Styela clava: one gene and its partner. The protein of the gene in region 1 binds, or shares a complex with, the protein of each later gene. Links are inferred from orthologs where the notes say so. Each region holds a gene or a part of one and is shown on either strand. Other genes may lie near its edges. The genes, in order: UDP-N-acetylglucosamine--peptide N-acetylglucosaminyltransferase 110 kDa subunit-like and TGF-beta-activated kinase 1 and MAP3K7-binding protein 1-like.

Region 1 (12,068 bases):
ACAAAGCTACAAATAATTATTCAGATACACAGAAACGATTTACTATATATACGTGTATCAGATTGCAATATGGACTCAAATCTTCCAAGTTTGGTTAACCCTCAGGGCGATGGGCACTGGATGGTGACTAGACTGGCATGCAATCCCGAAACCTTACAATTGCGCCATTGTCCTATCACATTTAATGAAATTTATTTCCTCACCGTCATCGAGCATTTCATATGATGGAAATTTCATATTCTCCACAGCTGGCCACAACGTTTGTTGTCTGTTTCCATTTTTACCTGGTGAAACACATAATAAATTTATATTTTTTAAATTCGTATTCGTTCGTCAATACATATATTATATTCAGATCAAAACGGGAAGTATACGCAAATAATCACAATTAGACTGCTTTCAAATTAAAATCGCAAAGTTCATAAATTTTTTGTAATATATTCTATAACACCAGTCTTAAACCGAGACATCGAGTGTGCCACCACATGCAGATAATACATGGAAAATCCACCAACCTTCCGGTTTATAAAGAAGATCACGTTTCTCATAAACAATATGTCTTTGAGGTTTGATATCAATTTCATTCTCGTCCTGACTTTGTTCTATTGGTTCGATAAAATATTCACCTTTGTCAGTTTTGATATATCCAGCCTATGAATATTTCAATAAATATAAATATAGTCAAAATCTATATATTGACACAAGCATATTCATGTAATTTTGATCATTGAAGTAGTATATGTTAATAGCCTAGGACTGTGAAACCCATGTGTCCAGCGTCAAATTCGAGATTTCTATGTTATCATACATCTCCACCAGACCCGCGATGAGTATCGAGATATTTATTGTACAAAATATAAACAAACAAATAGGCTTTTTCAAAAGCTATTTGTTAAAACGTAATAGTAACGTAATGAATAACAAATCTTTCTGAATTTCATACATTTTTTCTGTCCACCTGATAAATAAACCAATGAAACACCCATGAAAAACAGTAACCAGAAGTTCATAGCGCATTATCATATAGAAGCACTACACCACAGGTAAAACTTCGATTTCCGTTTCGAACCAGGGACAGAAAAAACTTGGAAACACACACAAATAAAAGATTATATTAATAAGTAAGTTCTCACCAATCCATCAAAACTCGTCATTGCTACTTTGCTTTTGTCAAAATATTTAACATAGCCAGCATATATTCCATGTCTTATCAAGTCTTCCTCAATGCTTGTATTCGTTAAATGTCTGACAATTTTGGCATTTGGGCCAATAAGTTGATCTTTCTGCTTCAGAACAATATGGTACGACTCTCCGAAAGCCGTGATATTATAATATATATCATTGTCTTTATTACCGGAACATGGTCCATAAGATGTTGTGTTGCAGGGCTCGTGTGCTGCGGATCGTCTCTTACGAATACTTGAAGTTTTCAAATCGTAAGATAAAAATTTCCCATCTGAGTCAACTTGAACCGGACTTGTAATGACATATGTTGAAAACAATTCAGATAGTTCCTCTGCCAATATAAGTTGATATTACTTTTAAAATCCTAAGACCTATACGCGATTTAAGAGTCTTGCTGCACACTATAAACAAAATAAATTTCTGTAACGTTTCTCCAACCTCCCAGTTTGATAAATGTTTGTCTGGGGAAGACTGACTTTGGTCAGACACAACGTTACAGAAATATATTTGTATAGTAAGCAGCAAGACTTAGGATAGTTATCTTTACTCTTGCTACAACATCCTTGCAATATGTGCATACGGATCTACCGGCACAAAATCCTAGAAGAAGGATAAGTAGTTAGTCTAGTAGAAACCCAATCGATAGCACAAGTTTACTTTTCATAAATGTACAGCAAGACGGACTAATTTTACTCAAATGTAATACATTTGAATATTTCGAATTTCGTGGCGCTCACAAGCGGCAACTTGGCAATGACGACAGCGTCCAATGGACCAACATTGAGAATTATGGTCAGATTATATCTTACAAAAACGCTGAATTCAACAAATATTAGAATTTAATAAGAATGTGTACATTGAGTAAAGTGTATTTGAAAATAATTATTTGAAACTTACTAGTGACATGTGATATAATAAAGACAATTTTAAGATCGGCGTGTATACAATACACACAAAATTCCTAAATCTATGTGGAAATAACTCAAATCTCACCTTCTGTCTTATGATGAAGAGAACAATAAATCTGAAAGTGCATATTATGGTAAATACAAGAGCATATAATGTCCAATGCAAAGAGTTTCGGCACTTTTTTCTTATGAAATCCAAGGCATATCCTTTTTACGAAAGTTAGACATTGATTTCAGAGATCAATGAATAATCAAAAAATGTTGTAAGATATTCTATATGCAAATTTACATTTCTCTCATTCCCATGCGCTAGATTTTTCCAAACTAAATGCTTTAAGAAAAATTTATAAAAACTCAAACTCGCTTCAGAATATTGAAATTATGGTTGCAAGTCAACATACTATTTCTTCGATTTTCTTTTAGTGCAATATTAGCCCATATCTCAATGCGTGTGATCTTATTTGTCAAAACGTCGACAATAAAAAAATTTACTCACCCTTGAAAAGGCAAAGGAGGCCAACAACATCAGAGCAAATCCAAACTTCATCTTGCCAAAGAAAATATGTAATAAATAAAACTAGAAATATTATTATTTGGCACGAAATGCCATTATTCTCGAACTTACATTCTTATTTAATTATCGACTGAAAAATGTCTCAGTAATTACCAAAAGTGGAAAAAATGATGAAATAGGAAATAATGGACATATTCCGAAGGGAGTAAGGGAAATCGATTTTTTTTTGCTCTGAGCAAACGTTATTTTCTGATTTAGCCAATTTCTATAACCTCGAAAGTAACTCGGATAAAGAAGCACAAAGGACGAAACACGGTCAAATCGTCTCTCTTTAATTAAGGTTAGGCTGAATATGAAAAGAGGATCCGTATATGATATCCCAAAGGCTAAACTCCCCTTATAACAATTGATCGTTTCACTATAATATATGCAATTAGACACTCGTAACTCTACCTCTTGGGAAACAAAAATTAAATATCCCACTATCCGCTCTAAGAATAAGCCGGCAATATTCCTCAATTCAATGTGATGCACTCAGTAAAATTGAAAGAAAATTAATAGAATAATTTAATTCAAACAATTATGATGTCACACATTTCTAACTGTTGCTTTGGCGTAAATTCTTATTAACCTTTTAAAACAATTAATCCCTCTGTAAAATATTATTATCGTGTCAAATTTATCTTCTTGTCAAAATATTTCCTCATCCAGATGTCAGCAATATTATTCGTTGAATAGTACTTTTTGAGCGTTTTACATAGCATTAACCTTGTTTCTCAAATATTAATCATCTTTTAAATCTCATCACAAAAGTATCGTTGTTCTGTTGACGACTGTTGTGCCACAAATACTAAAATCGCTGCAAATATTGCCTCGGGTATCACGAAAAGTTGGATGTTTTGACAAAACATCAGTTTATCAACATTTATATTATGAGATTATCATATTTAAAACATTAATGATTCAATCCAAGAAGTGTGATATAAAACAAATAAAATGTTTGAATGTTTGTTTGTTTGAAAATTAGGATATCGAAAATTGTCCGATTTAATACGCTATTGAGGGTTTACGGTGTAATAGGGCCATTGATACATGTTTGACGCAAAAAATCATTATTTGAAATTGTTGCAGTAGTTTGAAATGAACTCAAAAACTTCCCAGATTGAACAAAGTATTGAATTTTTATTTTTAAACCGATTTAAAATCAATTTGACTATACGCTGCAATCTTGTGTGTTTCCGTAATAAACCAATTTTCGTAGGATTTTTTGTAACAATGATGCATTCTTCGCATCGATGGCATCTCAGTATCTCCAGGTCTGTATAAAGAAAGACTGTATAGTTGGTATAAATCAAATCGGCCATTTGATATTCTGTTGTTTTAATTGTTTCGCTTGTAATCTGGGATCTGAACCTCTAGTATCCATTATCTCTGTAAAATGAATCATGTAATGATAGAATGAAGGTTTGGCCTATTCTTTTATTCTTTTTCGATCGGTAACAAAAAATTGTGGACAAGTAAGTCGTAAGTATCCCTTGCAAAAATAATACTAAAAAGTATGGTAAAGTGAGTGCAATCAGTAAAAAATGATAATCAGAATGTGTCACGCCTGTAGGATTGGACTTATGAGAGTACTCTACTCGTGATAATATATATATGAGCAGGTGAATATATCATGCATGGAAGTGCGCCTAAAATGAACCCTTTTGAGCGTGCAACCTGGGTTGGAAAATCTCAAGTTTACTTCTAGTCTAGTAAATACATGGATTTAATCAATATTTCTCTTAGTTTATCCTCAGTTCATGACCTATCACAAATGTCTAATAATTTCTAACCAATGTACAAATTCATAAACGTGTAGTCGCGATTGAAAAAGATGGATCATCGATCCATTCAAAACTGGAATATATATTTAAATAAACAAGATATCAATGCTCAATTATATAGATACGAGGGCGAAAACGAAGTAACATCAACTATTTTACAGTACCGGTAGTCTGACTACGAAATCGCTGAAATGCGCTTAGAGAACCACGGCACGGTGGGCAATATTTAATATCGATGATGTCATCGCACACAAAAAACGAATCCCATAGAGCCCACAGAAATTTTCGGAAATAATAAAAGTAATGCCTTTCTAGCGAATAAGACAATCCTTAACCACTGAAAATTTCAGAGCAATTAGTAGTTAATGAGTAAAGTTTTTCTTCTTCCTGAAGTATGCGCACCAAGATGGCGCACAACCTGAACCCGGTGGTGTACACTGTACAGGGTTAGGGTTCAGGTTGTGCGACATCTTGATGCGCATACTTCAGGAGTACCGCTTTTTTATAACGATGAGAGAGGGAAAATACCAACAACATATCACCAAACGAAGTATCAAGCCCTAGCTATTTCCAATTGTATTCTAGCAACATTTACTACAGTATCAACATGGCCATTTCAGAGTAATTGCTATGAAAAGTCAAAATGAAAAGTGCATTGCTAGCGTTGTATCATTTTCACTGAAAATCAATCAAAGACTTGAAATTGAAAGACTGAAGTGCAGTAGCCTACCTTTCAGTACACTATGAAATATGAAGCACGATTGCATCTCGCTGTTTCAGAATTAAAAGTCAAGGCCAATGCCACAAGTTTAGCGTTAAATTGGTGTTTATAGATGAGTTTTGGGGATGTTATTTTGAAATACATACTCAGTTTTGTTTTGTTGCTATTTTAATTCGCGTCCTTACAACTTTAAGGTTTGAAATCTGGCCCGACACTAAAAAAGGCTGAAAACCACTGGCTTAAATACGGAACGACAGCCCATACGATAAGCAAAATGGAACTAGATGCATTGACTTGATGGTAGAGAAAATCGAAACCGATCTTGGGTTACATGAACAACCCCACGACATTGTTCAACAATCTCTTACACACAATGGACCTTTCCCCGAGCATCGACTTCCTGTTTACTTCGTGACATTGGCCAATCAACAAGATGCAAAAAGTGACGTAACAATGCTCCCTTTTTGCATCCGCTCAGACACTTTTCTCACTCAGACAGATTTTCAAGCGCGGTCGTAAACATTACCTCATTATCGCGTTTTTGAACTCTATTCGTTAGTTTTCAGTTGTGTTTCGGAAACTTAAATATAAATAAGATAATTCAATGATCACCCTGTTTTCCCATGAGTTCTAATTAAATTGCAGTAATAAAAAATTAGTGTCGAAATAGCTGTGATAGACTAGGCTAAAATTCTTTACCGGTACTTTTAAAAAACAGAAAGTTGTATGCGATGAATCATAATGATGGTTTGAAACACATACCCCATTTTACAGGCGCCAACTCGCAAAAGCACTCTTAAAATAGCCCCGAAAATTTTGCAATGGCAAAGTATAAGAAGAATTTATTCGGGGGTCAAAGGTCGGGGAAAGGTCCATTATCCCACAAACTCTTCCCTAGTGACCTTAGATTTGTGTTAGGACGGATAGAATGTACCGGATCACCTATGTGATATTGTCGCTCGTACTGGCTTACACATATGTGCGTAATAGAAAATGATAACGTAGATAGCGAGTTTGATAAATTATATCAGTACAACGACTAACATACCGTATCAGTAGCACAAAATCATATCATTATTTGTGCCATACTTCCAATTTGGTGTTACCCATTCTCTCATATAGTTTGAAGAATATGTTTTTACGGTATGTTAGTCGTTGGTTTTTACGACCCATCCATGAAGATAAAAATGTCACAACAATTAATTTAAATTATTGGACATTCATTCTGATTCCAAGTCGGCAATTCTGAGTAATCATAATGAACCACCTTCTTATGAACAAGGCATAGGAATACTCTCGTTCGTCTATTTCCCTGATAAGAGACTGGACCGAAGCGGAAGTTGAAAAATAATGCCGATAAGGCATCTCGTTGTTTCAAAGCTCCCGAAACCAGACAAAGTCAGCGTGTCACGACAAATGACGTCACCCACGTATCATTGCAAGTTAACCATTGGCGTCTCGTGCGCATGAATATTTGGCGCCTCGCGCGCATGAATATAACATCACGCGACAGAGCTGGGTGGAAACTGGAAACACTTCGACGTGACTGTAAATAGTACTGCCCTTTGTTTTTATCAGAAAGGACGATTCACGCGTGTGGGCTCAATAACAACAATGTTTAATTTTGATATTTTCCTCGACTTATCGTAACTTTTACTATTGTGATTAGATTATGATGTATATAGACAAAGTTTAGCGTTAGATTATTTGTCCATATGGTTCTCCTTCATGTCTGTATGTTGTATCGTTGGTTATAAGGTTTTTGCGAGTATGAATAAATTCAAAAAATTTGCGATTTGGCGTTGGGAATTATTTTCAAGTGTTATTGGTGCAAAAACTGATATTTATATTCTGTTCATTTATATAGATTTTCTAATTAAATCAAACTATGAGTGATTTTTGTCTTGCATAGTCTGCAACACAAGATTGTTTGAAGAGTTCACATTCTGACATTGCTTAACCCTGCCAGCCTGTCATAAATTGGCACATTCAGACATTGCTGTCGACTTGAATTTCTCTTTACTACTATAATTCGTGATCCAATGTATTCACCAATGACGAAGGACGACACTAAGAAAATTATGTTAAATAATAATCATCAAGCAGCTGTTCTTGATGCCACGGGTTGGTAAACTTATAAGTTATTTTTTATTAATTGAACAGTTTCATGGGTTTGTTTTTCTGTATTTTGCTTTCCAACTACCAAGTTTCAGGAGTTTTGGTACACTTGAACAATTTCAGAATTTTGTTGTCATAAACTTCAAATAATTGTCTAAACTTTATACTGTTGTACCTTGTACTGTTGTACGATTAGTCATTCCAGTATTTCCATTATAATGTAACCGCGTGTGATATAACGTTACAGATAACTTTTTAGAAAAATATGTTTTTGCAAAAGTTTTGTCTATTCCTGTATACTGATTTCTTGATTTAGTAATTCTGTAATTTGTCGATTACGTATTGGAATTTTTTTGGAGAATGTAGTCTCCAAATAAAATTGCTGCACGAGACGGAGTTTTAAGTCATTCGGTCATAATTTTTCAAAGTTAAAGAGTGCATGGAGTGATGCTTTTACTCGGCAGCTCAATGTAAGCCAATACCTGAATACTGTAAAATGTGGGACCAGAAATAAGATTCTTTGTTCATTCATTTTTTTTATTAATACTCATCTGGGTTTCCTTAACATGGTTTCCCTATTTTAAGGTCTTGCTGAACTTGCACATCGTGAATATCAAGCAGGCGATTATGACAATGCAGAAAGGCATTGTATGCATCTTTGGCAGCAAGATCCAGATAATACTGGCGTTCTGTTACTTCTCAGTTCTATTCATTTTCAGTGTCGGAGACTTGACAAGTATAATCCAGTTCTTACAATTTTATTCTGTTATTGTTTTAAATGTACTCCTTCAAGTAAGAATGGTGACATAACAAACCAATTTTTTTCAGGTCTGCATATTTTTCAAAACATGCAATTAAAACAAACCCGATGCTTGCTGAAGCTTATTCTAATCTTGGGAATGTTTTCAAGGAAAGAGGCCAATTGCAAGAGGCCTTAGAACATTATAGGTATGATATTTGAGAAAATAACAATTTATCAAACGGTGTTTGTTTAATATATGGAATTGAACGGTGTTTGTTTAATATATGGAATTGGACATGTAATATTTGTTTTCTATTTGAATTTAGGCATGCTGTACGCTTGAAACCAGATTTCATTGATGGTTATATCAACTTAGCAGCTGCTTTGGTTACTGCTGGAGACTTGGAAGGCGCAGTTCAGGCTTATTTTTCAGCTCTACAAATAAATCCGGTAAATTGCATTCCGCAGATCATATTTTCATACTTTCCCCTTCAATAATAATAATCAACTTCAACTCATTTCAGGATCTCTATTGTGTGAGGAGTGATCTTGGTAATTTGTTGAAAGCTCTTGGACGTTTAGAAGAGGCAAAGGTATTTGCAGCATTAAATTGGCATGCTTTTTACATTCAGCAAATGCGCATTTGCGGTTCTTGGCATATTGCTATCTACACCTGAATCCTGAATCATACATGCTGGACTCGAATACTTTTGCAATTTATCGTTTCGATGATGATTTGGTCTTAACTAGTTATTTCGCTATGCATGCTTCAGGATTCAGTTTGTGTCGATAGCAACCGAGAAACGCTCGAGCACATGAAAAGTTGAATCACTTCCATGGCACATCGACACATTTCCGAAATCCAAATACTGTTTCAGACATCAAATAGAATTATTTTACATTAGCACAAATATGATTTTTTTGCACATGCTTGCTTTTTTATTAAGTCTATGTGTAAGAGTTCTAGAATAATCGACTGTGCACCCCATTATTGGGTTCGACCTGGCTCTGCGCCACCTGTTTTCTTGAAAATATTTCTGCTGTAATTCAGCTCTATATTTTAATAGAAGTTGAACTAGACAGGAAAAATATAATAATTTTTGTAATCAATCAAGCCATTATTTTCAAATAAGTCATAGCCCTCTGCCATTCAATTCTGAAACCAAGTAATTCAACAAGAAAGTCATGTTTGTGCTCTTGTTATTTCATAGTATGTTTAGCCTTGCTTCGAAATATTTTGCTCCCTCTGATGTTCACAATGGTCAGTGTTGTTTTCCATCCGTGCTACATGTTATAGACAGGTATAGCAGCAGCAGATTCATTTCTCTTCATCTCATAAAACAACACTGAAGATTGTGAACATAGCAGTGTACTGAAATGTGCAATTTTCAAATCTATTTTTAACGACTTTTCAAAAAGTGACACTGTATTATTTATTTTTTGTTTAAAATTGGATTACTCAGCTCTGTTGAGGATGAGGTAATTTTTGTATTCCTATAAACCGGAGCGAAATATTATTTGGGCATGGCTTTTGCACTTAGTCGGCGAATTCGGCATTGAAATGAAGGTACATTGACCCACATGGCTGTCAGTGGACATATTTTGCTACCCATTTGAAATGTATTTCAACTACTCAATATCCAATCCATCCCGATATCTTACACTGACAGTCAAGCGCTCGTGGGTTGTAAGCTGACGCAGCAGTTGTTATTGGAAAGACATCTTCCTGGGATTAACTTGTGCATTTGGACATGTCTGTATCTTGAAAACTTGAAAACCCCAGATAGTTTTTTTTCCAGTAAATGCAACTCTCAGCTGTCACGTTCATTTGCTAAATTGCGTCTTTATAAATATATTCTGATCTTAGAATTTGGTGTTTGAAACAAAATTCTTGGATCAGTAGCGGAATTGTATCTCAAATTATTTTATCAATTGGCTCGAAACTAAATTCTATGTGCAATTTGGTATTATTAACATGATGTGCCATGGTAAGATATTGTATGTGCTCATTTTTTAATTAAAAAGCTTCTCTAGAAGGACAAAATCTACCTGATACAGGATGGTTACTCAGCATATATTTACATCTGTGGTATGAATTAAAGTTAGCAATGGTAAGGCATATGCCAAGTATTGCATATTTTAATTAAAACCTCAAACTTTGTTTGGCTTTAGTTTCAAAAGTAATTGTTTCTCTCTAATCTGACGTTAATGTTGTTTTTCTTCAAATTTGACATTATTGTTACCAAAGGATTCTAGTTCAAATTCTTAGACATATCTAAAAACAAGAATAAATAAAAAAATGTTTTTTGTCAATGACATAATTACAATTACTGATCAAATGTAACTTCCAAGTACCAGTATTTATTTAAGACATCTTACAATATTTTAATCTTGTTATTTTATTCTTTATCTCTCTGTCATATTTATCAAGTCAATTTAAGAAAGATTGCACAGAGCTCGTCAGCATTCAACAGAGCAGGACATGAATATCACCATGCCAGATGACTTCTTCGTATCTCTAATAAATATCTCAGGCACCCAAGGCTACTTATTGTTATGTAAGCGCCGACAAAATGCGGCAACGGTATGGTATATACCAAGTTGGTCCAAGTATATAAATATGGATCTTTTATTTTTATATGTATTGTATTACTGTGCATTGTCTTGTATTTTTTGCTATGTGCGCCGCGCTTTGCGAATTCTATGTTCAAATCTTGCTGCATCATTTTCCACTCACAATTGCTTGACTTTAAATTTCTGCCAAAATTTTTGGTAGATCTATTTGACACAACTTGCAAAAAGTATTCTTGCAAATGTGAGACTCTATGCGGATGAAGCGAAGTAGAAGCTAATGTAACCATTTATTTCATCAGAGAAAATTCGGCATCTTTGGCTTCATTTCCGGATTCTGCTGCTGCTGCTCTGTGCGATATCAAAACTCCTTTTTTTCTTATCCTAATTTGTCTTTTATTCTCGCGTTTAGACATGCTATCTGAAAGCTATAGAAACACAACCAAATTTCGCAGTTGCTTGGAGCAACCTTGGCTGCGTCTTCAACAGTCAAGGAGAAATATGGCTTGCAATTCATCATTTTGAAAAGGTATTTTTCTTGTTTTTGTATATTTATGTATAAACATTATTTTATTGTACAATGGGGTATTGATTCAGTTTTTTATCATGGATTTCAGGCTGTGACGTTGGATCCAAACTTTCTTGATGCATATATCAACTTAGGAAATGTACTGAAAGAGGCAAGAATCTTTGATAGGTAATCATTGTAACATTCTATTTATTACTTAAATTAAAATCTATATTCCTTAAATTTTTTCATGTACAATTTTCATTGTAGAGCTGTTGCTGCTTATCTGCGTGCATTGAATCTATCACCAAACCATGCAGTTGTTCATGGAAATCTTGCGTGTGTGTATTATGAACAAGGGCTGATCGATCTAGCGATTGACACATACAGAAGAGCGATTGAACTTCAACCGCACTTTCCTGATGCATACTGCAATTTGGCCAACGCCCTCAAAGAAAAAGGTAAAATTGCTATTCCGGTTAAATGTATTGTGTTATATCAGACTTTTGAAGGCACGAGAGTATGTAGAAAATGTTCAGACTAGCTTTTTGTCCACTCTTTTCGATTCTGATCATCTGTCTCTCAACTCTGAATTTTTTTTACCCTGATATCTGTTACAAAATGCACTTTCAGGTAAAGTTGAAGATGCTGAAGAATGTTATAATAAAGCACTGAGACTGTGTCCAACACATGCAGATTCACTTAACAACTTGGCAAATATAAAACGAGAACAAGGACTGATAGAGGAGGCCATTGCACTGTATTGTAAAGCATTGGAGGTGATTACTGAATTTTTTTTTTGATCAATCTCTTAACACTTTCGATGCCAAGATCAGTTTTTTCAATTTTACCGTTCCGTGCCAAGGTGAAAACGAGAGAGTTCTCTCCTATTCATTCTCTCTCGTATTTAGTTTTTGATTCATCGGGAAAGGGGCGAACCCAGCGGTGTCATCAGTTATCGTTCATTCCGACACT
Region 2 (12,186 bases), on another chromosome or scaffold:
CCCTCCCATCCGTATTTTTCCTAACAGAGTTAACTTGAATTATATCAGGTTTTGTTTACCTGTTATTCACTTACATCTTTTTGGCAACAATACAGGGTGTCTTAAAAGTAAATATATACTTACCATCAATATTTTGTATTTCTTGTGAGATTCCCAACAATCCCCCTGAAATTAATAAAACTGAATTTTGATTCCATACGCAAGACCATACGCTAGACAGAAGTCAAAATATGTTGTCTGGAAGGACGAAACCTTTCCGGTTCGGCTGCAATGCTGAAAAGTCAAGTCTAACGCTCTAGCTGAATGTTGATATGAAGAGAATTACATTCTGTACAGGTTTTTACTTATCGATTTCAATCGGTAAGTACGTTGATAGGTATTTGTCTGTCTGTATGTCTGTTTGTTTGTCTGTTAGATGCACGCGATATCTCACGAAAGCGGACCAGAAGCCTATTGATTTTGGGCGAATTATGTCGTATAATTAGAGAGTTATTAATTATTTAGTGATGGGAAACAAGGTGTCACTATGGAGTAAGAGCGCTGTTTTGGGGGATCCCCTAACTTTCGATCGAGAAGTCTTCGGTCTCTGACCGATATTCTCGTTTGTACCTTTGCGGCTGCAAAATTGCATTTTTTGCTGTGATGGAAATTGAAAACAAAACCGAGGACAACTTCTTAGAATTGACGTACCGTCGTTGAAACATGTAACATTAATTTTGTCAAATGTAATAATATTTAAAACTTTTATTGGTGATAAATGCGCTGCCACGTTGTGGAACCACTACTCTAGCCGCTAGGCTACGGTCATCTTTATATGATGCCAGGAAAGTAAAATATCCCTAAATTATTTACAAACAAATTTATAACATTATTACCTGGCGTTGATGGATCAAGCTCAACTCCGGAACCTAAAATTAAAAGTTACCGATAAGTAACGTTTGACGTGACCTGGTCAGAAAAACAGGCCTAGAGATGCACGGAGTAGCTCTTTAGAAGTCTGATGTGAAGCTCTTTAAGATTGGATTTAAAGATTTATGCCGGAGAATAACTCGTTGGCTTGAACCTTGCATTGTATAAAGAAGATTGCATTAGCATCTCTGTTGCAAAGTAAGTTTATGTGCAGACGGTGGTCTTGATCAAAAATTCCATAGTCGTTAAATATTTCAACTGATTATTGAACAATGCAATGAAACTATAAAATACTCACTCGTGACAAATGTTGATGAACCCCCTGAAATATATTTGATAAATTGAAAAACGGCAAAATAAAACCAAAAGTGTAATACCACTAATAGGAAATTTCGCACTCGAGGCGCATACATGATCATAAGCTAAAATTGTGCTTTCTCCGTGCCTAAATGTCTGTTTTTTTGCGCTAAAAATCCAGTCAAATGGGTAACAGGATGTCGAAGTCGTTTTTTAATCGATGTTATTCAGATTGAACTACTTTTTCTCTGCAAATATAGTATCCAGAATTGGCCTTGAACTTCGCAACGTTCAGCAAGATTCTGCAAATACAGTGACGTGCTGAATAGATAACTTATTGGGGAAAGCTGTTGTTTTAACAATTTCATGTTTTTTCTATCGATCCTGTTTTTTTACCATTTGTCCAGAGATTCATTAAGAAGGAAGGTATGGAACATCCAAGAGCGTAGCCAGCCCACAATTTGAATTTTGGGGGCAATTTTGTTTTGTATAACGACGTTATTAGACGCTTACTCGTGTCTTTTGCTTGGAATGTTGTGTCCCTGACACTGACTAATGAACTATACAAGCATCCAGCTTGATAGAAACATCAAGTTTAATGAAACATCAGTTTAATGAAAACAAACAATAACACCGCTTAGCAAGCAAACTTAGAACAGCGTACCAATCCACTAATATTTCGTTTCGTTCATTAGGGGGAAGGATTAATGTACAGTTATCCTGGAAACATCCGGTTTTCAGCAAATTGTTAGGGAATAGAGCAAAATGGTGTTAAAAAATGGTGTCTTACTGCAAACGCTGCAGAAATGCAGTTCAAGTAAAATGTGAATTTTTTTTTAAGCGGGGGGACATAGCCAATGGGGATATCCCGTAAAATACCTGATCATTGTATTGAATTAAAGTCAAACCTCCCGATCCTTCGCTTTGCATGGCTTCAACTAATCTTGTCATTTCGCTGAAGAAGTCTTTCATAGACTTATAATTTGCGTCTAGATAGTTGTATCTGGCTTCGGGCGAGTCAGGTACTGTTGGAGACAGGTAATTACCATCGAAAATGTCCAAACTGTCTTCGCATCTGGCAAGTGTGAAAACGACCCATAAGAATGCTATTTTGAAACAATACATTGCTTCAGTTGTCGCACGTTGACTAATCTTTACTTAATCTAAATATTTAATCGAAAAAAAAAATTCAGTTGAGGCACTCAAGAACATGAATAATATTTTTTTCTGAGCTTCTGCAACTCTTCTTTGCTATCTTTTAATAAATTTCATTCAATTATCTTTTGCAGCGGTTCCCAAAACGCGGCTCGCGGGCCAATTACGACCCGCCGTTTCGGGCGAAACGTTACAGAAATATATTTGTGTTAGTGTGCAGCAAGACTCTTGAATCACTTAACAAAAATCGTATTGTAAAAATTTGATCTATAAATATCAATACCAGTGGTTCTAAAAAGTTTTAGGCCGCGCTTCCCTTTTTAGAATTTGTCAAGTCTCGCGCGTGCCCCCAAAGTGACTAGCTAACAATAAGCTACAAATAACAGATAGCAAGGCGAATGTTTTATTCGAAAAACAGGTTGAACATACGTGAATGGAACGTTAATATCCATAATAATAAAATGTGAATATCAAACAAATATTTTTTAGTTAGCTTCCCGCCCACCAAAAAATTGTCTACGTCTTACTTGCGGGCGCGCCCCGTTTGAGAACTAGTTGTCTATACGCCTTCTTTCAATTAATAACTTCACGGACTAGCACTCTGTCAAATATCATGAGTATGAATAGCAGTAGTCCCAAATAGTATTAAAATTTTAAAATTTTACAACAAATCATTTATCTTTTACCACTTGGCGAATAAGTCCTCGCTAAACTGAAAATTCTTGGATATCTTCGTAGTTATTTCGCAAAAGTATTAACCATATTGAAGTATACGCAATGTTACTACGCTGTTCGGTATTATAATATATCATAACCACCACCGCACAATGTGCGGTGAGATAGCACTGAAACAAAGTAGGGCCTACAGCCAGTCGCAACAACAATACAAACAACAATATGTTCAACACACGTAAGATTACTACGTTATTCAATAAAATTGTTTTAGCATATGGGCAAACATACATCCAAAGAATAGCTGTATGGAGCCTATTGTATGGAGATGTACTATTACCACTGGTAATTCAAGTAAAAAATTATTTTCCAATATTTTATTTGTTGGTTTGTGTGAGGCTGACACACATGGCAGGCACCCTTTCCTCCTCGCATCTCTCCCCGAATCAAGTAAGTTTCAACCAGTACAAAACAAATTGTGTACAAATAACCAGAAAATAGCACTTACAGTTTTAGTGGGGAAGAAAAGCCGCAGGAAACCCAAAACATGTTGACTAAGCAGCGATATTCAAGGTGCGAATGCTTTTAAAATTGCTGAGTTATGGAGTATGAAAAAACATTGGTGTTCAGTAATACTATTTCTATAATTAAATTACCCGATCTTTTTAACTAGATATTAGAAGCTTACGTGTCGCTGCTCGATAACTAGAATTAGTTTTCCGTCTGGAATTAAATAAGTAAGTAAGTTTCGGTATTGTTGTGAGAAACACTTCAAACGGTTGTTCTCGGCTGGCGTTCGTTATTCGAAACTTCTTGCTTAAAAGAAGCGATGAGATTGGACGGAAATTTGAAGTTTCAATTTTTCTTCGACTGCTCTGGGGCTTCGTTGTTTTTCTCACCTTATATATATATAATTTATATTTTTTATTCACCCCACGCTTGCTTGCTACGCACGTCGTTTCTTCTTTTCATCGTCACATTCTAAAAACACATTTCAGGTGTTCTCATAATGTCTTCAGGCAGCGACACCTGAATTGTATTATATTTTTTGCATAATATTTTCTTGCTTGCACTCCGGCAGCACGATTGTACCATTTCGTGACCAACTTTCCTTCTGGTCCTTTGCCTGCTGGTCGGGCCTATTTCCTCTCTCCTCGACCAGTCTGCTGGTAGCGTCCCTTGCTCGGCGCTCCTCTCTTGTGCGGATCAGCCTGCCTGCCATTTCTTTTCTCGGCCGCCTTTCCTCTCGTCTTGTCTGCTGAGCATATCCTGGTGGCTGGGTCTGCTGCCCTTTCTTTCCTCGGTGCACGTGCTGGTCCTCTACTGCAGCTCGGTCTGCCTTTTCTTTTCTTGACGACCTGCCTGTCTTGTCTGGCGGTGCTATCCTGCGGCTTTGTCTGCTATCTCCTTCATCGACGGGCCCGCTGGTTCTTCCTCCCTATCCTGCGGCTGGGTATGCTATCTCTTTGCTCTGCGCATCTGCTGGTCTCCTCTTCTACGGCTCACAGCCCGTCTGTCCTTTCTTTTCTCGACCACCTGGCTAACCTGTCTGCTGGCCCTCTGCTACAACTCGATCCACCCCGTGAGTTTCGAACCTGCGCTCGTGCCTGACCTGATGTTTGACAACGTCTCTGCGTTTCTCCTGCGCCACCGTCACTTACAAGGACCGAGCTGGCCAGAAACTTGGTTATTTAACAACGTCACGCTTAGCAGCCCACGACAAAACTAATTACCCCGAAATAATTATTACTTTAAACATACTGCGTTGATTCGAAGCAGGTGTATTCACGTTTTAATGTATGCTAAGTCGTTCAACTGGGACTATAGTGTGCGCTCCTGTAACTCTTAAATGTGCGGATTTGGAAAATAATATGATATCCTGTTTCTAATCGTGGTTCAGTTTAGTTCTTTTTATAAAAAAAAGGAACAGTAATTCTGCAATCATTGTCGATAATGTGCGTTAGATAATTAAAAGAGCGAATCCGTAAACCCCAATTCTGACTGTCAGTAAAGGAATACAAAGACTGGAAGACGATTCATCGATTTGATCATTTTTTACCTCTTGTGCTAACTGACCGCCCTATATCTGGTTTACTGTTTCTAAATTTAATAAACATCTCACGAAAAATCTTGAAATTGGCGCGGCGTTATGTTCTTTTACAGAATAAAACGATATTATACAAACTGGTAATAAAACGAAAAACCCGACAAGTTTTGCCCAGTGACAGGTAAAACATGCCATCCCGCCTAATGCACTAAAAATGAAACGCAGTAAATTGCGCGTGCGATGTACCTTTCTATTCGCTCAGTATCTGCGTCAAAGCCACACGCCATATTTTTCCGGATTATGATGAAATATAATCTAATCAATGTAAAGTAGCCTATGGTCGATCAGTTTCTAATATACTAAAATAAATGCATAACCGTAGGATTTTATAGCAGATCTTCTTCATTTCTATATTTCCCTGTGAAGGTTCATATCCGAATATCTACCTTCATATTCATTTACGTCGTGGAAAACTAATAAACAATATGAAATAAATAAAATGCATGAAACAAATTACAGAAACAGATATCGGCTTGTTGCAGTGGACGAGGTGTCGCGAAAAACTCATCAGTCCACAAGTCAACCAGTCAACGACACTTTGAAGCAGCAAATATAGCAACGGAAGAACCCAATATTAAACATTTACCTAATTAGACACAATAATATGATTAATAACAATAAAAAGAATAAGAAATAAACTACAGATGCCACAATGACTATGGAATATTACCTAAATGCTTACTTAGTAATTAGACACAATCATACAAAAAGAACAACAAAAATTCAAATTAAACTTCGAAATGCCACAACACCTATCTGTTTTGAGCATTAGCATGATTGATTAGTTTGATATTTTTTGCAGGGGGGGGGGGGGAGCCTAATTCCTTATCTGGTGTACCACGGCCCCCCGTCAGATTACGACCAGTTTATGCAGGGTAGGAGATCAGTTAGCCAGATATTTGTTCCAGTTGCATGGGCTTGTTTGGGATTTTCTTGGTCGAATAAGCCTAATCGTTTCTTAACTCTCATTTGGAATTATCAAAAATAAAATTTTTAGGTACAAAAATTTACAAATGTTTTTTTTTTATGTAGATTACGCAAGTCGTTATTTTAAATCCGGTTTTGACTGAGTATAAAATTTAGAAATATTAAATAAAAAATAATTATTAGATTCTTGGTTGTTATTATTCATATTATTGGTAAACTGTTATTTATGTTATGCAATTAATTTTTCATTTCAAGTCTCAAGTATATTTTATGTCTGTCCCATTTGTGTTATGTAAATACGGCTATAGACTCCGGTCATCGAGAACATTGTTTTTGCACTTGTTTTGCCGTCGAACGGGCCGCCCTTTAATGCTCAGCTGATTCCCAGATTAGGTGCTAACGTTTACTTATGTCTGTATTTGAAAAAAAATTTATTGTGAATTAACATAAAATATATAGTGCACTAGTGCAGTACCGATAGTCCTAGATAAGGATACGAGAGAGAGAGAAATTTATTTTTCGTAAACCAGAAAAAAAATACGGAAATAGCAAACAATAAAAAGTTATTCAGTATAGACTGCTACCGGTACTAGACTAGACTACGAGCTACTGAACTGCGACGTTTTTTGATCCACTATGGCTTCTATTTCTGTATTTATAAAATTAGGCCTCTATCTGTCTATAGCCTGTACAGCTGTACGGTTCTCCAATTTCAAGAATGGTCCCCACATTGAAATACATAAATTAGGATAAAACGGTGAGTGCAAACCTCTGGTTTACGAGACAGTTTGGGCCCCATAAATAGGCATATTTCAGTAATTTGGCAAACCAGTTCTGCGCAATAAACTAAAAGAAAGCACAATCTAAAACCTCACCATAGGATTCCTCATAAAAAAATGTATTGATGAAAAATTTTTTACAGTAGCATATAAATATATTTTGGTTTTCTCGTAAAAAATATCATACACAAAAACCAAACAATGAATGCACAGAAGATTAGGAAAATTGGGGGAACTGGCAAAACCTCTATAAAGGTTTAATGCAAGTAAATATACATGCAAACATGCTGCATAAATATGCACACGAGCGTTTTCAGCAAAATGAACACAATTTTGGTCTTGTGACGGCCACGTTCAATTTAGATCATTATCGAGACGAGCATGGTGCAATCTGACGCATCCGCCATCATGCCAGACTCACTCGTTTCAGGATCAAATAGAGTATTTGTTTAATTGAACAAATAGTCTGGCAATCTTGGAATCGAAGAACTGTGTCCTTCTGATTGCCAATGATGTTTTCGTTATAACCATTGCTATGAAACATTCAGACATTAGCCAAAATACAGCAGTGAGACGTAAAGTTTTCAAACTTATTATAAAACTGTGAACTATGAATTATACAAATTTAATTTGAACTTTTCAAATTAATGTTGAAAAGTAAATATTAAAAACATTCATAAGCCACCATTTTTGGCAGCGCCAGATCCAACTATTAGGAGGAGCTGCATTAAACACAGTGACCCTGCGGCTCCAGCTCTGGGTAAATATCTCTTTATCATCTCAATTTGAAGGGGCACTACATATTGACGCATCGTGCTAATCTTCAGGAATATGCTGACCACCGCATCTCTGGTTATCCTGATTGGGTTTGCAGGTTCAAATCTCATGCAGGGTTAATTATGTGCGAGAGGATTGCTGGACTCCACATCCAGTACAGCACACTATCCAAATTCCAAGAATTTGCCTCAATAAAACAAACACTCCATGTGTCTCATAAACGAGGGGCGTCTGGGACCACGACAGATGCTTCATATTGCGCCATGCTTGTCTCAATAATAATCTAAATTAATCGCGGCCGTCACATGACCAAAATTGTTGTTTTTTGCTAAAAACTCTCGAATGCTACGAAAAAAAATTTTTCTTTGGTAAATCAGATTATTTTTTCTCAAGGAATTCAATGATGACGATACTAGATTGCGCTTTTTTGTAGTATTTTGCGCAACTTCATCATACTGTATTATTACTAATATTGAGGGACAACAATGTCCAGATGTCTCCCGAAGGAGGGGTCTGATCATCTAAAAGTAGGGTTTTTCTGAAACGGGACAATGTCACCCGATTTGTATAGTGTGCCGTACTGACATTGCCGGAGGGTGGTTCCATAACCCCTCTCCACGATCAATTACATGCTTCCGAAATAAAATAACTGGCTAACCAATCCCATACCTGACATGGACAGGTAGCCCGACGAGAGACTGTGGGTTGCCATATTATTAAACTTTTTATAGGGTGTGCTCGTCCCTATGATAAATATGTAAATCCTACCCATATTATAGACTACTAGACCAGTAAATAAATCAACTTCCGAAGTTGGAATAAATTTTTAAAATAGGAACACTCTTTATTTTGCGATTACAGTTAAAATCTAAAAGATGGCGACTGCTGCGCCTTTACGGCCTCCACAGGGAAGTACACATTCGTCCACGAGTTCGTCATCGCCCAGCGTTCATCGTAGAATGCTTAATCGATCTGGTGTTAGTTGGACGGATGATTTACCAGTCTGTAATTTGTCGGATATTGGAATAGCTCCGAACGTTGTCTATCTTCAGGATGGTAAAACAATGGAAGCTCATCAGTATGCCGACTTTTCTTTCAATTTCAGGTTGGTAAAGATGTTTAAAATGAGTGCAGCAAGTCTCATGAATTGAATAGAATAGCCATTTACACTCTTGCTACAGCATCCTAACGTAATACACATACGGATCCACCTGCGCAAAGGCATAGAGAGCAAGGAAAGGTAGTTAGTTTCACGCAACCTCAACTGTTAGTAAAATTTGTACGTTGTTGTTTTGTTCTGTAAAGCTTTTTTGAATAGAAATATCAAATTTTTATAATTCAAATTGATTTTATTCAAAAATTATTATTTCAATCAGTGGTTATATGACAGTCAAAAAAATGCAGTCATTCTATATTCAAATATGTAAATCATTTGAGATATTTTGTACTCTGTCTGTCTGGTGCAAGATTTCAGGAGTGAAGTTGAATGTTTTATTAAAATCGAAATAATTTTGAAATGCCAAATCCAACTATCTTTGCATTGGTTGGTTCTTCAATAGCTTTGTTTGCTAGTTGACCATGTAGTGATGACTCATGTTTATTGAAGTCCTTGTCATTGTTATATTTAGCAGATTCAATGAATTTATTGTTTATTGGATGACGCATATTTCAGCATTTTTATGTTGAACCAGTTATGTGTGACCAATGGCCGAGATGTATCATGATTATGAATATAGATAGTTCTATATGGGTTCTTTAGTAATACAGGCAGTTATAATCATTACTTATTGATCTTTAGATCGGTAAGTATGTTGATAGGTATTTGTCTGTCTGTCTGTCTGTCTGTTACATGCATGCAATATCTCAAGAAGGTGTGGTTGAATCTGCTCCAAATTTTGCATGTGCATTCATCATATCTCGGACCAGAAGCCTATTGATTATGAATGAATTCTGTCGTATAATTAGCGAGTTATCAATTAATTAGTGATGGGACACGCAGTATCACTATAGAGTCATGAATCGAATCCGCAGTTTCGATCGATAAGTCTTCGGTCTCCGACCGATATTCTCATTTAAATATTTGTCACAAAATTTTTCAAAACCTATAATCTACTACGGTAATTTAGTAGTGGGCAAGGTTTTCGGACCAGGGCATCATAATGAGAGTGACATGGAAGTTACATTTCATGAACAATATTTACAGTGTTTCAAAACTGAAAGTGGAAAACTTAATTTTATCGCTATCTCAACAAATTCCTTGAGCTAAAACATCAAAATTTGGTTTTGGCAGCGTCAGGCGGGCCAAATCGAATTACCCAGTCGGCCGGATTTAGCCCATGGGCCAAAGTTTGCCTATATGTCAGATCTATTTTATTGCCAATTAGCGACTTTTTCGACATACTGGACATGGGTTCTTTTCCAGATTTTTCAACTGGCCGTGTTCATCATTCTAAATATCTGAATATTCTCATCATGGTTCTATAGTCTGAAGTAATTCTGCCATGCTGTACATTCAAATTAATATTTCAATAGGTTTACATTTTGTTGTACATTATTCATGGTAAAAGTCACTTAGTAACTTTTGAAATTTATTCCAGATTCTCTTTGATTTTGACACAGAAAGACATTTAATTGGGGCCTCCAGCGGGTTCCCTTACTTTTTCTATTCATAGTTTTTGCGCATTTCACTCTGTATAAGGAGTTACTAGATTTTGGGAAGAAAATAATTTTATTTGGTTTGGCATTTCTTATCTAATTTATTACACCTTGGGTGGCCGTAGCTGCATGGGATTGTCTGATGTTATTACTTATCGATTTTAATCGCTAAGTATGATGATTGGTATTTGTCTGTATGTATGTCTGTTAGATGCACGCGATAAAGCGAGATTGAATCTGCTCCAGATTTTGCATTTGCATTCATCATATCTCGGACCAGAAGCCTAGATTTTAATGAAAATTTGAGCTTCTTTCACTGGACTTTTGAGTTTGGTCATGTGGTGGTATCAATAAGCTTGTACATTTTCTATAGCATAAGCATAGAGCGATGCTTATGGGCCTGTTTTACAGTAAGCCATGGTACAAACTACAAACTGCTAAATTTAACATGGTTTGTCTAATCTTAGATGATTTGTACATCCATCCTCTACCATACCTCAGCGACCCCACCGACTCCATGACCTGTTTGCAACCCTACCTAATTATCACTCCGACCCAATTTGGGGTCGCGACCCCTGGTTTGGGAACCCCTGTATTAGACTCTCAGTGAGGGGATAAGAATGATTGATAAACTTAGGACAGGATTTACATATTTCACCTGTGAGAAAGGAAAGTTGATAAGACGGCTCAATCATATGATTGACCTTCGATTCGACCTATGGTGAATAAAAAAAAAACAAGAAGAAAGCCGATAGGACAGCTTAATCATATGGCGAACCACGGCCTCTTATCCGGTTACCGTTCCATGTCGGGTATGGGATTAGTTAGCCAGGTGTTTGTTTCCGGAAGCATGGACCTGATAGGGGAGGAAGGTGTAACCGATCAGCAGTTACGTGAACCAACCTACGGTGGCGAGGAGTGTAGAAATCCATGGGATTTGAACCTGCGAACACGCAGGGCTGTGGCGAGCATATTTCTAGCTCTTAGCATGTTGCGCCACACCATTTAACCTGATATGTCATTATAGTTAATCCGGACGCTTTAGCCATCTCGCTTAGTAATGAAATATGTTACAGTTTATTTGTCTACATTGCAAACATTTCTAGTTGCAATCACTCATAATTTAGTCCTGTCTCATATTAGATCAAGTTGTATTTCAATAACTAGAGAGTAGTGTTTACCGATGTGCTCAGAAACAAAGTTTTCAGTCTATAGGTGACTCATTTTTATGCACATGAATTTCAAAATTTTTTTTGTATGTGGACTTTGAACGGGCTATTCCAAGTGACACTACAAGACAATTCCAGAAATTTTTCATGTTGTTAGATGCAATATATTTTTACATTTTCAGCTACATGTTTTGTTTTATTGTCCAATCAGTTGCTTTATTGAATATGTAAAAAAAAAATTGCACAAAAGTTAAAACCAAGACATACTTAGTGGATATAAAAAATAACGTAAAATATAGTGTGACAACACAGGACAGCAAATCCACCTTGCACTAACAGTACTTATGCTGTAATTTTTTGCGATGGTACAGCAGGAGCCCATAATATTTTCTGGTGCAGTAGCTGAAGGAGCTCTATGTGTAGCTCAATTCACCTAATGTAACAGTGTAAATCCATGCCAATAATTTGCATTTTGTATGTGACACTACAGGACGATACACCACAAGACATTTTTCCACTTCGGAACAGCGGCCTCTATCATCTCTCAAAATTCTGGTAATAAATTGTTAAATAGGCGAAGAAATTTCCTACAGCACTGCAAACATTTAAACTTTATTAACTTAAATTCAGTGAGTCCATTTCATATGAAAAAAATTTATCACACAATCAAACACTTTGTGTCACGAATCATCACAAAATATGCCAATTATACCACAATTTCTACATTTTAGGCCATTTT

What was found.
Region 2: the proteins of UDP-N-acetylglucosamine--peptide N-acetylglucosaminyltransferase 110 kDa subunit-like (region 1) and TGF-beta-activated kinase 1 and MAP3K7-binding protein 1-like are in contact, whole or in part, in a crystal structure (PDB 4AY6), measured with the Homo sapiens proteins. The link is inferred for Styela clava from reciprocal best matches to the Homo sapiens genes OGT and TAB1. Residues at the interface, in NP_858058.1 of Homo sapiens: Asp441, His506, His508, His509, Asn567, His568, Pro569, Gly641, Tyr642, Thr643, Lys644, Ala646, Gln849, Phe878, Pro904, Val905, Ala906, Pro907; in NP_006107.1 of Homo sapiens: Pro389, Val390, Val392, Pro393, Tyr394, Ser396, Ala397, Gln398, Ser399.

The regions. Positions count from the first base shown.
Region 1 is NC_135258.1:11,142,346-11,154,413, forward strand, and holds the start of UDP-N-acetylglucosamine--peptide N-acetylglucosaminyltransferase 110 kDa subunit-like, read left to right. Parts: upstream 1-7,020; 5' UTR 7,021-7,196; coding exon 7,197-7,278; intron 7,279-7,857; coding exon 7,858-8,008; intron 8,009-8,100; coding exon 8,101-8,220; intron 8,221-8,340; coding exon 8,341-8,464; intron 8,465-8,538; coding exon 8,539-8,607; intron 8,608-8,693; exon of another isoform or gene 8,694-10,496; coding exon of another isoform or gene 10,497-10,598; intron 10,599-10,997; coding exon 10,998-11,114; intron 11,115-11,202; coding exon 11,203-11,282; intron 11,283-11,363; coding exon 11,364-11,554; intron 11,555-11,726; coding exon 11,727-11,872; intron 11,873-12,068. Other genes in the region: A disintegrin and metalloproteinase with thrombospondin motifs 3-like, read right to left, coding at 204-284, 516-651, 1,134-1,516, 2,179-2,209, 2,590-2,640. UniProt on the Homo sapiens protein: Catalyzes the transfer of a single N-acetylglucosamine from UDP-GlcNAc to a serine or threonine residue in cytoplasmic and nuclear proteins resulting in their modification with a beta-linked N-acetylglucosamine (O-GlcNAc).
Region 2 is NC_135253.1:22,517,033-22,529,218, reverse strand, and holds the start of TGF-beta-activated kinase 1 and MAP3K7-binding protein 1-like, read left to right. Parts: upstream 1-6,805; 5' UTR 6,806-6,824; intron 6,825-8,484; 5' UTR 8,485-8,498; coding exon 8,499-8,728; intron 8,729-12,186. Other genes in the region: uncharacterized protein LOC144421899, read right to left, coding at 124-165, 876-908, 1,208-1,231, 2,115-2,331. UniProt on the Homo sapiens protein: Key adapter protein that plays an essential role in JNK and NF-kappa-B activation and proinflammatory cytokines production in response to stimulation with TLRs and cytokines.